3 linked regions of the Rattus norvegicus genome follow. The protein of the gene in region 3 purifies or fractionates together with the protein of the main gene of each other region. This does not show direct contact. Links are inferred from orthologs where the notes say so. Each region holds a gene or a part of one and is shown on either strand. Other genes may lie near its edges.

Region 1 (4,350 bases), on a different chromosome or scaffold from region 3:
CCTGTCAGTAGGCTGCTCCAGGACGGGGTATTTTGTCTGTTTGACCTGCAGCATCCCCAGTGTCTGGTATCCTTTCGGTCCAGTCAACATTCCACCAACTACTGAATCGCCATTGACCACTGCAGCCAGACACTAGCTCTCCCTTCTGAGTCTGGCCCAAGGGTTACAGAGTTCAGGACTGGGGTTTTCCGTATATACAAAGGAGTTCCTAAAAAACAAACAAATAAACAACAACAACAACAACAAAACCCAAAAAACCAAACCAAACAAACAAAAAACAAAAACAAAAACGGTGCCACCGTGACCCCAGGTACCACTGAGATTCGATTCTGTATTACAACTGCGAAGTAGCAGAATGAAAATGGCTTCCCGAAGTTAACAAAGGCCCTGGTTACTGAGGAAGCCTGGTGCCCACTGGGCCCTGGGTGGATAGCCTTCTCAGGCTAATATATTTGAGTGAGTGAAACACATATTGCTGAACCAATCTAATTTTAAATACGTAAAATAATTCGTTCCAGTGACGCATGATGGCACATATCTTTGATCCCAGCACTCCAGAGGCAGAGGCAGGAGGATCTCTGTGAATTTGAGACCAGCTTGGTCTACATGTATAGTTCCAGGACAGCTAGGATTACATAGAGAGACTCTGTCTATGAATAAATAAATAAATAAATAACCAACCAACCAACCATCCAGTAAGCTTCCATCTAAGGGTCTGAGTCTGTTACAGCGCTCTAGATCAACTGTTCTCAACCTATTGATCGCGACCCCTTCACAGAGGTCGCCTAATGCTATCAGAAAATAGGTATTTATTTACATTACGACTTATAACCATAGGAAATTTACATAGTGAAGTAGCAACAAAAATACCTTTATGGGTGGGGCGGGGGGTCACTACAACATAAGGAACGGTATTAAGGGGTCTCAGCATTAGGAAGGTTGAGAACCACTGCTCTAGATCCTTTTGGGGTCACTTACGTTTGGTTTCATTTACTCCTGGCTAGTGTCATTTAGCCCATCCTAGTGTCCCTTGCAGTGGTCAGTGGCATACAAGCTAAGGCCAACTTCAAGGGTGGCCTATATACCAGTCCCTTCAGCTTGTAGCTTTGCCAGCACTGGGCTTTTATGTGGTAGGGGCTGTGGATAGAACTCAGGATCTCATCTTGAGTGCAAATACTTTACCAAAGGAGCCGAAGCCACGCCCGCAGCCTCCCTAGCGTCAGTGTTAGGTTGTTGAAGAAAGGGAAAAAGAATTTAAGCCTCCCAGCCCACCCAGCTGGGCGGTACCTACCAAGCGCTCCCCCTGCTGGCCGTGACTGGAATCCCAGGCCCGACTAATGGCCTCACTCGGTATTTATGCCGGCCGAGAGGGAAGCTGCCTGTCCCTTTAATTGGAAAGTACCAAGTGTTTTCCAGACTATAGTTTTTTTCTGCGTCCTTGCCATGGGAATTCATAGGTCAGAGACATAGTTGGCAGTAATGTGGAGATATTTCTGTATTTTAGGGGAGTTTGGCTCAGCAGGGCTCGAGAGGGACCTCGTGGGGTGACGCGCGCCTGGATGGTCTTCCCCCGCGCCCTATGGTTCAGTCCAAGATGGCGGCCACCATGAAGAAGGCGGTGAGTGCGGCCGAGCCGGGGTCCGAGGATCCGTGGGCTGGGGGATCTGGGGAGACGCGGGACGCTGGGGAGTCGGAGGTCTGAGGAGATGAGGTATCTGAGGCGCCGGGGCCACGGGATGCGCAGGGCCTGGGCCCGTGCTAGGTCCAGGGGTGCTGCTGTTCTCTTGGCTCACGTCAGGGTAACTGCCTAACCTGCTCAGGGTCGCGCATCTCCTCAGGCACCGAATCGGTTTCTGCATCCCGGGATGTCTGGTACCGCACCTCGGTGCTCCGCCCGGAACCGCCCATGTCCGTCTATGCTCCATGCACCTAGTGTTTAATTGACGCTGAGAGGAGTCGGCCCGAGCCAGTGTGGTGGCTACCCCGGCTTTTCCTAGCCTTTAGGAAGGACTCGGGTCCCCACACTGTGCCCCGCATTCTTTACAGTTAGCCATTCTCTGGTGACTCATCTGGTAAGATGTTGGGTCTGGTGATTTCGTTTCCCCAAAATTACAGCTCTTTATTAATTTAAAACGCCCTCCGATGATTTTTCATGGGGCTTGGTGTGGTGTTTTATCACACTTTTTAAAGACATGGACTTACGTGTGTGTACACCAGACTGGCCCACTGCCCCCTGTGCGGTCAAAGATGATTTTGAATTTCTGCCTCCACCTCCCACCTTCCAGTTGTTGGGATTACCCGGGTTTGTCACCACACCCAGCTTTTGGTGTGCTGGTGGGGTGAACCCAGGGCTTCGTGCACGATAGGCAACTAATCTACACGGCTTTGCAACCCCTCCGTCATACTTCGAGCCACCAACTTAAGCTAAACTCCCATGTGGGTTTTATGACCCCAGAGTGTTTCCAGATGTGCAGGTATGTCTAAATACAGGGGAAGAATTGCAGAGAGGAAAAAAAGAACACACAAGCAAACAGCTGATAACTATTGGGGCTTCAAAGTATGTTGGGCACAGTTCTTAGCGTTTGCATGTCATCCTGTGCAAACCTTTTGGGAGATTCTGTTCTTATTCATATTTAACTGAAGAGGAACGGAAGGGCAGAAGATCTGGGATTTAAACAGCACTCACATTCTAGGCTCCACTCTGTCTGTCTGCCTGCCTGCCTGCCTGCCTGCCTGCCTGTCTTTGTCTCTCTCTGTCTCTGCCTCTCTCTCTCTCAGGCTCCTTGTCGTGTCTGTCTGTCTATGTGCCTGCCTGTCTCTGATGAGAGGCGCCTGACTGAAGGCAGCTGCTTTCACTCCACTTCCTAATAGATGTCCCTGTTTATGTTCTTGCTATTGGCACCACACAGTCAGTGCCTCCGACCACCGAGGGATGACGGTCAGCCATTCCAGTTTGTTAAGAGCAGAGCGAATGGCTGCCGAGCCTGGGGAGGCTTCAGAGTTAGAATAAGTCCTTCACCCTGATCTGTCACTCACAAATTATCATACAGTAGCAGCATGCAGTCCGGGGCCATGGTGATTTGGCCAAGTAGGAAACAAGTTCATTTGCCTCTCTTGGGAGATTGGGCCCTCAGCTGTCCGTTATACTGTGTAGTTCCATGACATTGTCCGTCTCTGGTTTTGCTTTTTTGAGGGAAGGTCTCACTCCGTAGCGTTGGCTGGTCTGGAATCCTCAGAGATCTGACTGTCAACTGAAGTGGAGAACTTTTTGGCTGGGGACTCAACTCTCAGTACCTGAACTTGGAATAGTTACAGTTTGTTTTCTCTTACAATCCCATAAGATGTTCCCAAGGCCAGGGTGTAGTCAGGGCCCAGGGCAGTTTACTTTCTTCTTGACTCTGGAGCAAGTCATGTCTCTTATAACCAGCAGAGTCCCCTTAAATCTGCAATGATCATTTTGCCATTCTTCCTTCATTTCTTTTAATGAAGTCTCTCATACGTAGCCCAGGCTGGCCTCAAACTCACCATGCAGCCGGGGATGAACTTGTACTGTTAGTCCTCCTGCCTCTACCTCCTGACTGCTGGGGTGCAGGCTTGTCTCCGCACACCTGGCTTTATGCAGTGCTGGGGGTGAAGCTCGGGCCTTTGCATGTGCTGGGCAAGCATTCTACTGAGCTAGCCTTCTACTGAACCTTAGAGGCAATATGGAGCAGGCAAAGTACTTGGCTATCCTTGATCGAAGGGTGAGTGCATACCCAGGCCCCATGCACTTGGGGCTCATTGTACCATCCCTGCAAGGGAGACAGATTGGGGGTGGCTCCAGGGAATTGAGAAAATTACCTGAAGTTCCACATGCCTGGTTCGGAGTCCCCTCCTGCCATCCCTTCACTCCTATCTGGAGTAGAAAATAACCCTCTTCAGTAGTCACTGCGCCCACGCCTGCCTAAGACAGGAGTCGCTAGCCCTCTGAGCTTATAGGTGTCTTTGAAAATCCGAAAGCTGCTACGACCCCTTGCGGAGAATGTAGTCGAAGGCTAGGCATGTTCACCTTGCACCCTTTGGTCCCAAGGATAGCTGTGAATGGAGCCCAAACCATTTGTAGATGGCATCATGTCACAATGTCAAAAGACTGGACACCCTGCAATGTCTACCTATTTTGCGTATGGTTTGGGGGACTAAATCGACTTCTTGATGACCTTGCACGCCAGCTAGAAGTTACTATCTTCCTGCCAAAATGCAGTTCAAGGAGCGTAGAAGTGGGGTTGAGGTGTAGCTGAATGGACATGCTTGGCCAGCATAGAAGGCCCTCAGTTCAGTCCCTAGCACCTTAGAAAGAAACGAGGTATTCTG
Region 2 (4,161 bases), on a different chromosome or scaffold from region 3:
TTTTTGAGTTTTTGGGTTTTTGTTTTTTTTGAGACAAGTCTTATGCAGTCCAAGATGAACCCCAGCTCTCTATGTCATTGAGGATAACTTGAACTTTTTTAAAGTACAAAAAGATTTATTCTTATTATCTTTAATTTTGTCTACACATGTGCATGCGTGTGAGAGCATGTAAGCACAGGTGCCTGCAGAGGCTAGGGTGTGCATTCTCTGGGGACTGGAGATTACAGGTCATTGTGAGCCATCTAACGTGTGCTGAGAGTCAAGCTCTGATTCGCTGGAATAAGAGTATAAGCTCTTTTTTTTTTTTTTAAAGATTTATTTTATTTATATGAGTACACTGTAGCTGTCTTCAGACACACCAGAAGAGGGCATCGGATCCCATTACAGATGGTTGTGAGCCACCATGTGGTTGCTGGGAATTGAACTCAGGACCTCTGGAAGAGCAGTCAGTGCTCTTAACCACTGAGCCATCTCTCCAGCCCCAAGGGTATAAGCTCTTTAACTGCTGACCCATCTCTCCAGTTCCTAGTTTTAAATTTGAATCTATTCAGTGTATGTGTGCGTTCATAAGCATGTGTGGAGGTACACACATGGAAGGGAGTCAGAGGATAATTTGTGGGAATCAGTTCTCTGCACCATGTGGGTTCTCAGGATTGAACTCATTTATTTCGTTATGGTGGCAAGCACCTTTATTCCCCAGGCTGACCTGACCTTGAACGTATGATCCTCCTGCCTCAACCTACCTAGCACTTGGATCACAGGAATGCATCATCATACTCGTTTTGTACGGGGCAATTCAGAGTATCAAATGTGCTAGGCAAGCATTTAGCCAACTGAACTACACCCCAGTCAGGAATCTGATCCCAACAAACAGAATTGTCTCAAGAAGCACTGTGTCTAGAAGATATATGAGGAAGCTTCGGCAGAATTAGGTTCTTTTTAGATGAACCATATTGCTAATGGTCTTACTGGCATGCCCGAAGCTGGACTGACAGCACAGGAACTGAATGAATGATTGATGAGCTGACCGACAAACCTGTTTCAATTCCGCAGCCCAAGTGAAGATGTTTTTCTAATTGTATGTGGAGGAGCAAGTTACATCTCGGCAGTTACACGTTTATCAAATATAATCAGAATTTCAATGTTCAGGGTCATTTGTCTCGTGGCAGAGTGGTAGAGTCGGGTAGATTACAAGCTGAGAAATCTGGGTTAGTTGAGTTCACCTTTGCGCAGGCGCAGAAGGAAGCCTACCAATAAAACCTGCAAGCGCCCTTCCCCCACCCCTTTCCGGCTTGCCTCTAGCGCAGGCGCATAGTGTCCTTCAATATGGCCGCCTCCGTGGATCTGGAGTTGAAGAAGGTAAGGGGGGATTTTCAGCAGACAGACACTTCTGTTTGAATGATAAAGCGAGTAGGGACGAAAATGGGGGCGTGAGGGGGGAGGGGGAAAGCTCGCGTTTCGCTGGAGGAAGGAGACTGTAGGGGGCGGGGTCTGGCCTCCCGAAGCCTTGAGACCGGACCCGCTCTGCTTCAGGTGGAGGCTCTTGCTCGCAGGAGCTGTTTCTGGTGGGTTTAGGTTGCTGGGTCGCACGCGGGCTGGGCTGCAGTGTGTTCTTATGTTGGAACTTCAGAGACATCTCTCTGTGTTTTGGAGCCGTCGGGTACCAATTTCATAGCAAGGACTGAAGACAGTGTCTCACAGTGATGATGCCTGTCAGGATGCTTGCAGGAGAACTTGCAGTTTGGTTTCCTCATTTGATTTGAAAAACTCCAGGTTCAATCTTTGCTTTTAGGTCATTTATTCTACACTATACCTTGAAAGGTCTTTCTGTATTTACACCTCAAATAAGCAGACACTGCTTGACTCCTGTCAAGGCTCTAATCCTCCCTTCCCCATCACCTTTGTAAAGAGCTCATACACTACCCCTCCTCCCCAAGTAAGTTTTCCAAAAGACCTTTCAGAGGAATTGGATTGTTGTTGTTGTTATTATTATTTTGTTCAATCCGTTGCTTAGAAATGATTTTGTTATTTTGCTTTTTTTTTTTTAAGAGACAATGTCTCAGGGTGTTCTAGATTGACGTGGGACTTATTGCCCTTGAATTCCAGGCAGTCTTTCTGCCTCAGCCTCTTGAGTTCTGGGAATTAGTCTTGAGTCAAATGCCTGTTTATAAATGGGTTGTTAATTGGAAACATTTTTGCTACTTAACAGTCTTGGGACTGATCCTGGCTGTGCTATCTTTGTGGAGAGTTAGCTGTAATTAGAAAGGACCCTAGAACTCATTCTGTTTAAATGTACTTTTCTAGAAAGGTAAACTTCTAGTGTTTTTTTTTTTTTTTTTTTCTTTCTGGTTAGCTTGGTTTAGTTTGGTCAGGCCCTGAACCCCTAATGTACTTTAGTGCTGTTGCCTTCAGAGTATTAGGGTAACAGATATGTGCTAGGGTCCCTGGCAAGAAAAGTCTTAAAAGATTGAGCCCCAGGCAGCAAGATGGGTCAGTGGTGAAAATACTTGCCAGGCGCCTGGCTGTTTAAGTTCTATCCCTGGAACCAACGGTAGAAGGAGAGAACTACACAAAGTTGTTCTCTAATCTTAGAGGCACACACTAGTACACTGCTCGGTGCTCACACAAACAATAGTAAACACATTTTTGTTTTTTCTTTTCTTTTTTTTTTTTTTTTTTTCGGAGCTGGGGACCGAACCCAGGGCCTTGCGCTTTCTAGGCAAGCGCTCTACCACTGAGCTAAATCCCCAACCCCAGTAAACACATTTTTAAAACGGAGTCTAGCATTTGGAATTACTGTAATCCTTTTTTTTTTTTTTTTGTTCAGTAGGTTTTTTTTAGGTGAGAAACATTTTTAAAAGTTGTGTGTGTGTACATTTTGCAAGGTGCTTAGTGGAAGTCAGAGAACAATTTTTGGGAGTTAGTTCTCTCTTATGAGGTGGGTCCTGGGGATTGAACTCTTGGTATCAGGCCTTCTAGGCAAGCTGAGCCATCTACTGGCCCAGATTTGGATTCTGGTTTTGTTTTTCCCAAGAGACAGAGTCTCATGTCGCCTAGGTTGGCCTGGAACTTGGCTATGTAGTTGGCATGCACCCCTACACCCAGTTTCCCTAGTGCTAGGATTTGCACTCAGGGCTTCCTGCATTCGACAAGACCTCTCACTGGGACCTAGGGATTGCCACTTTGGCGAGATTGTCTTGTGAGCTGCTGGGACCTTTATTTCCCCCTTGCCCTTCATGCCTAGCATTAAACAACAACAAGTTGTATTTTTATGTATGTGTCTTGCCTGCATGAATGCCTGTATACCATATGTGTGCATCCCTCTCAGGCTAGAAGAGGGCTTTGCATCCCCCTGAAACTGTAGTTAACATGTGGTTGTGGGTTGCTATGTGGGTACTGGGAACCAAACCTGGTCCTCTGCAAAAGCAGCCAGTGCTTTTAACCCCTGAGCCATCCCATCAGCTCCCAAGCTCAGCCACCTTGTGGGTCCTGGGGAGTGAACCCTGGGTCAGCTGACTGCACTGTTTCCCTAGCTCCCATAAGTAACATCATAAGTAGCTGTCTCTGGTTAACCTGTGCCTAAGTAATACGACAGCTGAAACAGCTGTTCCTAATAAAAGAAGCCACTTGCTATTGTTCTGGGGATGCTAAATATGTGCATCTTTCTGCCATTCTTGTCTTGAAACATGTAAACTTAGCCTTAGATAGCATTCTCTCATGCTATAAATCTCAGCCTTGTAAGCTTTTCTTTCTTTTTCTCTTTTTCTTTTTGAGACATGGTCTCACCATGCATCCTGGACTAGCTTGGAACTCACTATATAGGTAGACTAGGCTAGCCTAGAAATCACAAGAGATCCTCCTGGGTTCTAGGATTAATGCATTTCTGTGCCTGACATGTAAATCTCAGCTATGTATCTATATCTTTATATAAAGCGTTTTCTCCTTTTATCATGTAGGTTCAGGTCCCAGGGATGGAACTCAGGTTGTTAGGCATGGTAAGAAGTACCTTTACCTGCTGAGCCATCTGTGAACCATTGTCTGTCTGTCTGCCCACCCATCTATTTATCTATTTATAGATAGATTAAAAATTAATTTTAAAATGTAGTTTGTGCATTTGAAAGTGTGCTCAAGTGTTCTCTTACCAAGTAGTTCCCAGGGTCA
Region 3 (3,639 bases):
ACCATCCTGGGAACTCAGATTGTCCTCTCTGGAGTTCAACACCCGTACCCAGCAGCTCACAGCCGCCTGTGAATGAAGCTCCGGGTGAAACCGACACCCTCTTCTGATCTCCATATGTTTATATACACACAGGCACACACATAAATATAAACATCCTGAAATCTTTAAAAAAAAAAAAACAAAAACAAAAACAAGGACTTCTGTTGTGGTTTTCCCTGGAGTTATCTGTATTTTGATGCTAATTCCACTGCCCCAAGGACAGCTGCCTAGTCACTTACTCAGGAATCAGGTGACTACACCAGAACCTTCTCCCCATTGAATTTGTAAAGTACAGGTGAGGGGCAGGTACAAGATAGAAGGAGGCCTGTCATTGGAGGAGAAGGAAGGATGGGCGGGAGAGAAGTTTGAAGGAAGAGGAGGAGACTGGAAGAGAAAGGAGGAGAGAGGAGAGGGTGAGAAGCCATGGCAGGTGATGTTAAGAGTCTGCTCTGTGTATTTACAGGTTGTTATTAATGTTCCTAAGGGATGGATGGTACCGGGCTTTGTATGTTTAAGTGGGCAATTATATCTTATCAATTGGATCCAAGATTATTGCATTGTGTGTTCTTTTATGTGAGGGTTTGAGTATAGGAGAGTGTGTGGCTGGGATGTGTTTCCGCAAGATATCTAGCAGATATCTTGGGGCACCACAGTGCAGGACCTAGTGAGGTAAAAGACACCTATACCTTTTTATTGTTTTATATTTTTACAACAACAGACTTCAGAGATGATGACTCGATGATTAGGCATATAAAAGTTCACACTGTGGGGCTGGAATGATGGCTCAGAGGTTAAGAGCACTGAGATCAGTTCCCAGCAACCACATGGGGGCTCACAACCGTCTGTAATGGGATCCAATGCCTTCTCCTGGTGTGTCTGAAGACAGCTACAGGGTACTCATATATATATAATTAAATAATTCTTAAAAAAAAAAAAAAGTATACACTGCTCTTCTAGAAGACCCAGGTTTGATTTCTAGCACCCATATCCGGCCCGTGACTCCATCACCCTCTTCTGGTCTCTGAGAACTGCACTCGTTTGCACAAACACACAGTTATCCATATAATTAAAAAAAAATCCGGGCTGGGGGTGGCAAACTGGCAAGCAGCTCAGTGGCTAAAAGAACTTAAGAGAAAAATGGTTAAAAGATTTTGCCTAGGACCCAGGCTCAATTTCCAGCACACACAGGGTGGCTCACGACCACTCACTATTCCAGCTTCAGGAAATCTGATGCCTTCTTCCGGCCTCTGGGCACTAGGCACACACAGCGTGCACATATATACATACTTCCAGGTATAATAGCACTCATCAACATGTAGTAAAAATTAATAAGTTGGGGGGAGGCATAAAAAAGCTGTGACAGACTCTTTACTGGCAAGTCTCTCTAGGTATTCCAGCAGCTCCTCCCCTCCCCCATCTCTCCCATCCAAGTCTATTGTTAAATCGCCCCCTTGTGCCTAGTAAATATCTCATACATAGAGGCATGCAGACGTATTCTACAACTTTCCCAAGATAGGTATCCATCCACTACTGCGCCTCTGTGACTTGTCCTCCCGGGGGCTGCCTCTGCTTTCTGGTTTTCACTGGCTCATTTCTCTCTTAGGTAATTGCTGGCTTTAATCGCCTTCGGCAGGAACAGAGGGGCTTGGCCTCCAAAGCAGCTGAGCTGGAGATGGAACTGAATGAGCATAGGTAAGAATGCCGCAGAGAGACAGTATTGGAGGGAGGCTTGCAGGGGAGCAGGACTATTCTGAGGTCTTGTCTTGCTCTCCTACCCTACCTAGCCTGGTGATCGATACGCTGAAGGAAGTGGATGAGACCCGCAAGTGCTACCGCATGGTTGGCGGTGTGCTGGTAGAGCGGACGGTCAAGGAGGTGCTGCCTGCCTTGGAGGGTAACAAGGAGCAGGTGAGCACAGATCCCTGAGGTGGCATTCGGGCAATCAAGAGGTTAAATATGGGTGGCCAGGGATTTAGGGAATGCGAGGAAAGAAAGTCCAGGCAGAAATTCATGTTGACAGTATATTATGTCTGTTGGCTATATGCTATGTCCTTTATAAGTCAAAAGTCCAACTCCTGAAGTGAGGAGTTGTTGGCTGTGGCCCCTTTCCATGGGCCCTTTGATGTGGTTGAGTTGGGAGGGGAATGGGTAGAGCAGTTTCTTACAATATAGTCTGGATCCCTGAGTCAGAGTCACCTGAAGAACTTGTTTAGCAGTGTTGGGCATCAAACCCAGGGCCTTATGCACAGCAGGCTAAATACTCTATCATTGGGCTATGCCTCCATCCAAGAACCAATTTAAACTGTAACTTCTTAGGATATCTCTGGATCCGTGGAGCCAAACCCTTGAAGAAACCATAAGTGACATTTCAAAGGAAGAAAGAGTCCTGACTGGGATGTCATACATTGGTGATTAACTTGCTGAGATGATGAGGCAGGAGAATCTTGGGTTTGAAGCCTGCCTAGGCTAACTATAAAACAATCAATAAAAAAAGAATGTGACCTAAAAGAAGGAACGATAGCATCATAAATGCTCTTTAAAAAACAAGCAACCCTGGGCTGGAGAGATGGCTCAGTGATTAAGAGCACCGACTGCTCTTCCCGAGGTCCTGAGTTCAAATCCCAGCAACCACATGGTGGCTCACAACCATCTGAAATGAGATCTGATACCCTCTTCTGGTGTGTCTGAAGATAGTGACAGTGTAATCATAATATATAATAAATAAATATTTAAAAAACAAGCAACCCACCCTCCCTGGGGAGCCACTGAGGACTGAAGGTTGCTAGAGATGGGGCAGTCATTGTCTTAAGTGATGTATCCCCTGGCAAGCTGCTCCTGTGGCTAGCCCACAAGGGTGCCCTGGTTAGACCCATGGGTCACAAAACAAAACAGAAATATGATTTTGAGATGGGTTGTGTTGGTGGCCAGTGGGTAAGAGTGGGGTTAAGTTTGAGAAGAATAATTATATACTTTTATAACATTATCAAAGAATAGTGAAAGCAAGTAGCCCAGATGTTCCCTTTTATAAGCCACTCACTGTGTTTGAGAATTCACTTGAGAGTCTGGGCTTTGCTGATGCTGGGCTAAAAGGTGAGCTTAAATGTGTTGTTTCACTGCCTCTAACCATAGCACATTCCAGGTCAGAGGAGGGAGACCTGCAATCCTTCTGTATCCTCTTTTCTTTGCCTTTTAGATACAAAAGATCATTGAGACACTGTCACAGCAGCTTCAGGCAAAGGGAAAAGAACTCAATGAATTCCGGGAAAAGCACAACATTCGTCTTATGGGAGAAGATGAGAAGCCAGCAGCCAAGGAAAACTCAGAAGGAGCTGGGGCTAAGTCCAGCTCAGCAGGGGTGCTGGTCTCTTAGGGACTAAGGCCTCTGCATTCTATTTTACCCTGATTCCCACTTCTAATTTCTTTTTATTGTTATTATTATTTTTCTGCTATTGTAATTTTTTTGTTGTTGTTAATTAAATGTTTTGGTCAAATACTTAACTGTAGCCTGAAACTCTCTTACTTAGGGCTACACTGACAGCATACAGCTGGGCATGGTGGCAGACATATCTTAGTGCTGGGGACACAACAGGAGGCAGATCT

Evidence for each region.
Region 1: the proteins of Pfdn2 (region 3) and Pfdn4 purify together in Homo sapiens (affinity purification with mass spectrometry; 6 studies listed by BioGRID and IntAct, counting the BioPlex papers as one, with this or other methods). This does not show direct contact. The link is inferred for Rattus norvegicus from reciprocal best matches to the Homo sapiens genes PFDN2 and PFDN4.
Region 2: the proteins of Pfdn2 (region 3) and Pfdn1 purify together in Homo sapiens (affinity purification with mass spectrometry; 5 studies listed by BioGRID and IntAct, counting the BioPlex papers as one, with this or other methods). This does not show direct contact. The link is inferred for Rattus norvegicus from reciprocal best matches to the Homo sapiens genes PFDN2 and PFDN1.

What each region holds. Positions count from the first base shown.
Region 1 is NC_086021.1:179,720,277-179,724,626, forward strand, and holds the start of Pfdn4 (prefoldin subunit 4), read left to right. Parts: upstream 1-1,488; 5' UTR 1,489-1,579; coding exon 1,580-1,618; intron 1,619-4,350. UniProt on the Homo sapiens protein: Binds specifically to cytosolic chaperonin (c-CPN) and transfers target proteins to it. Binds to nascent polypeptide chain and promotes folding in an environment in which there are many competing pathways for nonnative proteins.
Region 2 is NC_086036.1:28,338,262-28,342,422, reverse strand, and holds the start of Pfdn1 (prefoldin subunit 1), read left to right. Parts: upstream 1-1,299; 5' UTR 1,300-1,326; coding exon 1,327-1,359; intron 1,360-4,161. UniProt on the Homo sapiens protein: Binds specifically to cytosolic chaperonin (c-CPN) and transfers target proteins to it. Binds to nascent polypeptide chain and promotes folding in an environment in which there are many competing pathways for nonnative proteins.
Region 3 is NC_086031.1:86,319,207-86,322,845, forward strand, and holds part of Pfdn2 (prefoldin subunit 2), read left to right. Parts: intron 1-1,642; coding exon 1,643-1,731; intron 1,732-1,823; coding exon 1,824-1,947; intron 1,948-3,232; coding exon 3,233-3,409; 3' UTR 3,410-3,639. UniProt on the Homo sapiens protein: Binds specifically to cytosolic chaperonin (c-CPN) and transfers target proteins to it. Binds to nascent polypeptide chain and promotes folding in an environment in which there are many competing pathways for nonnative proteins.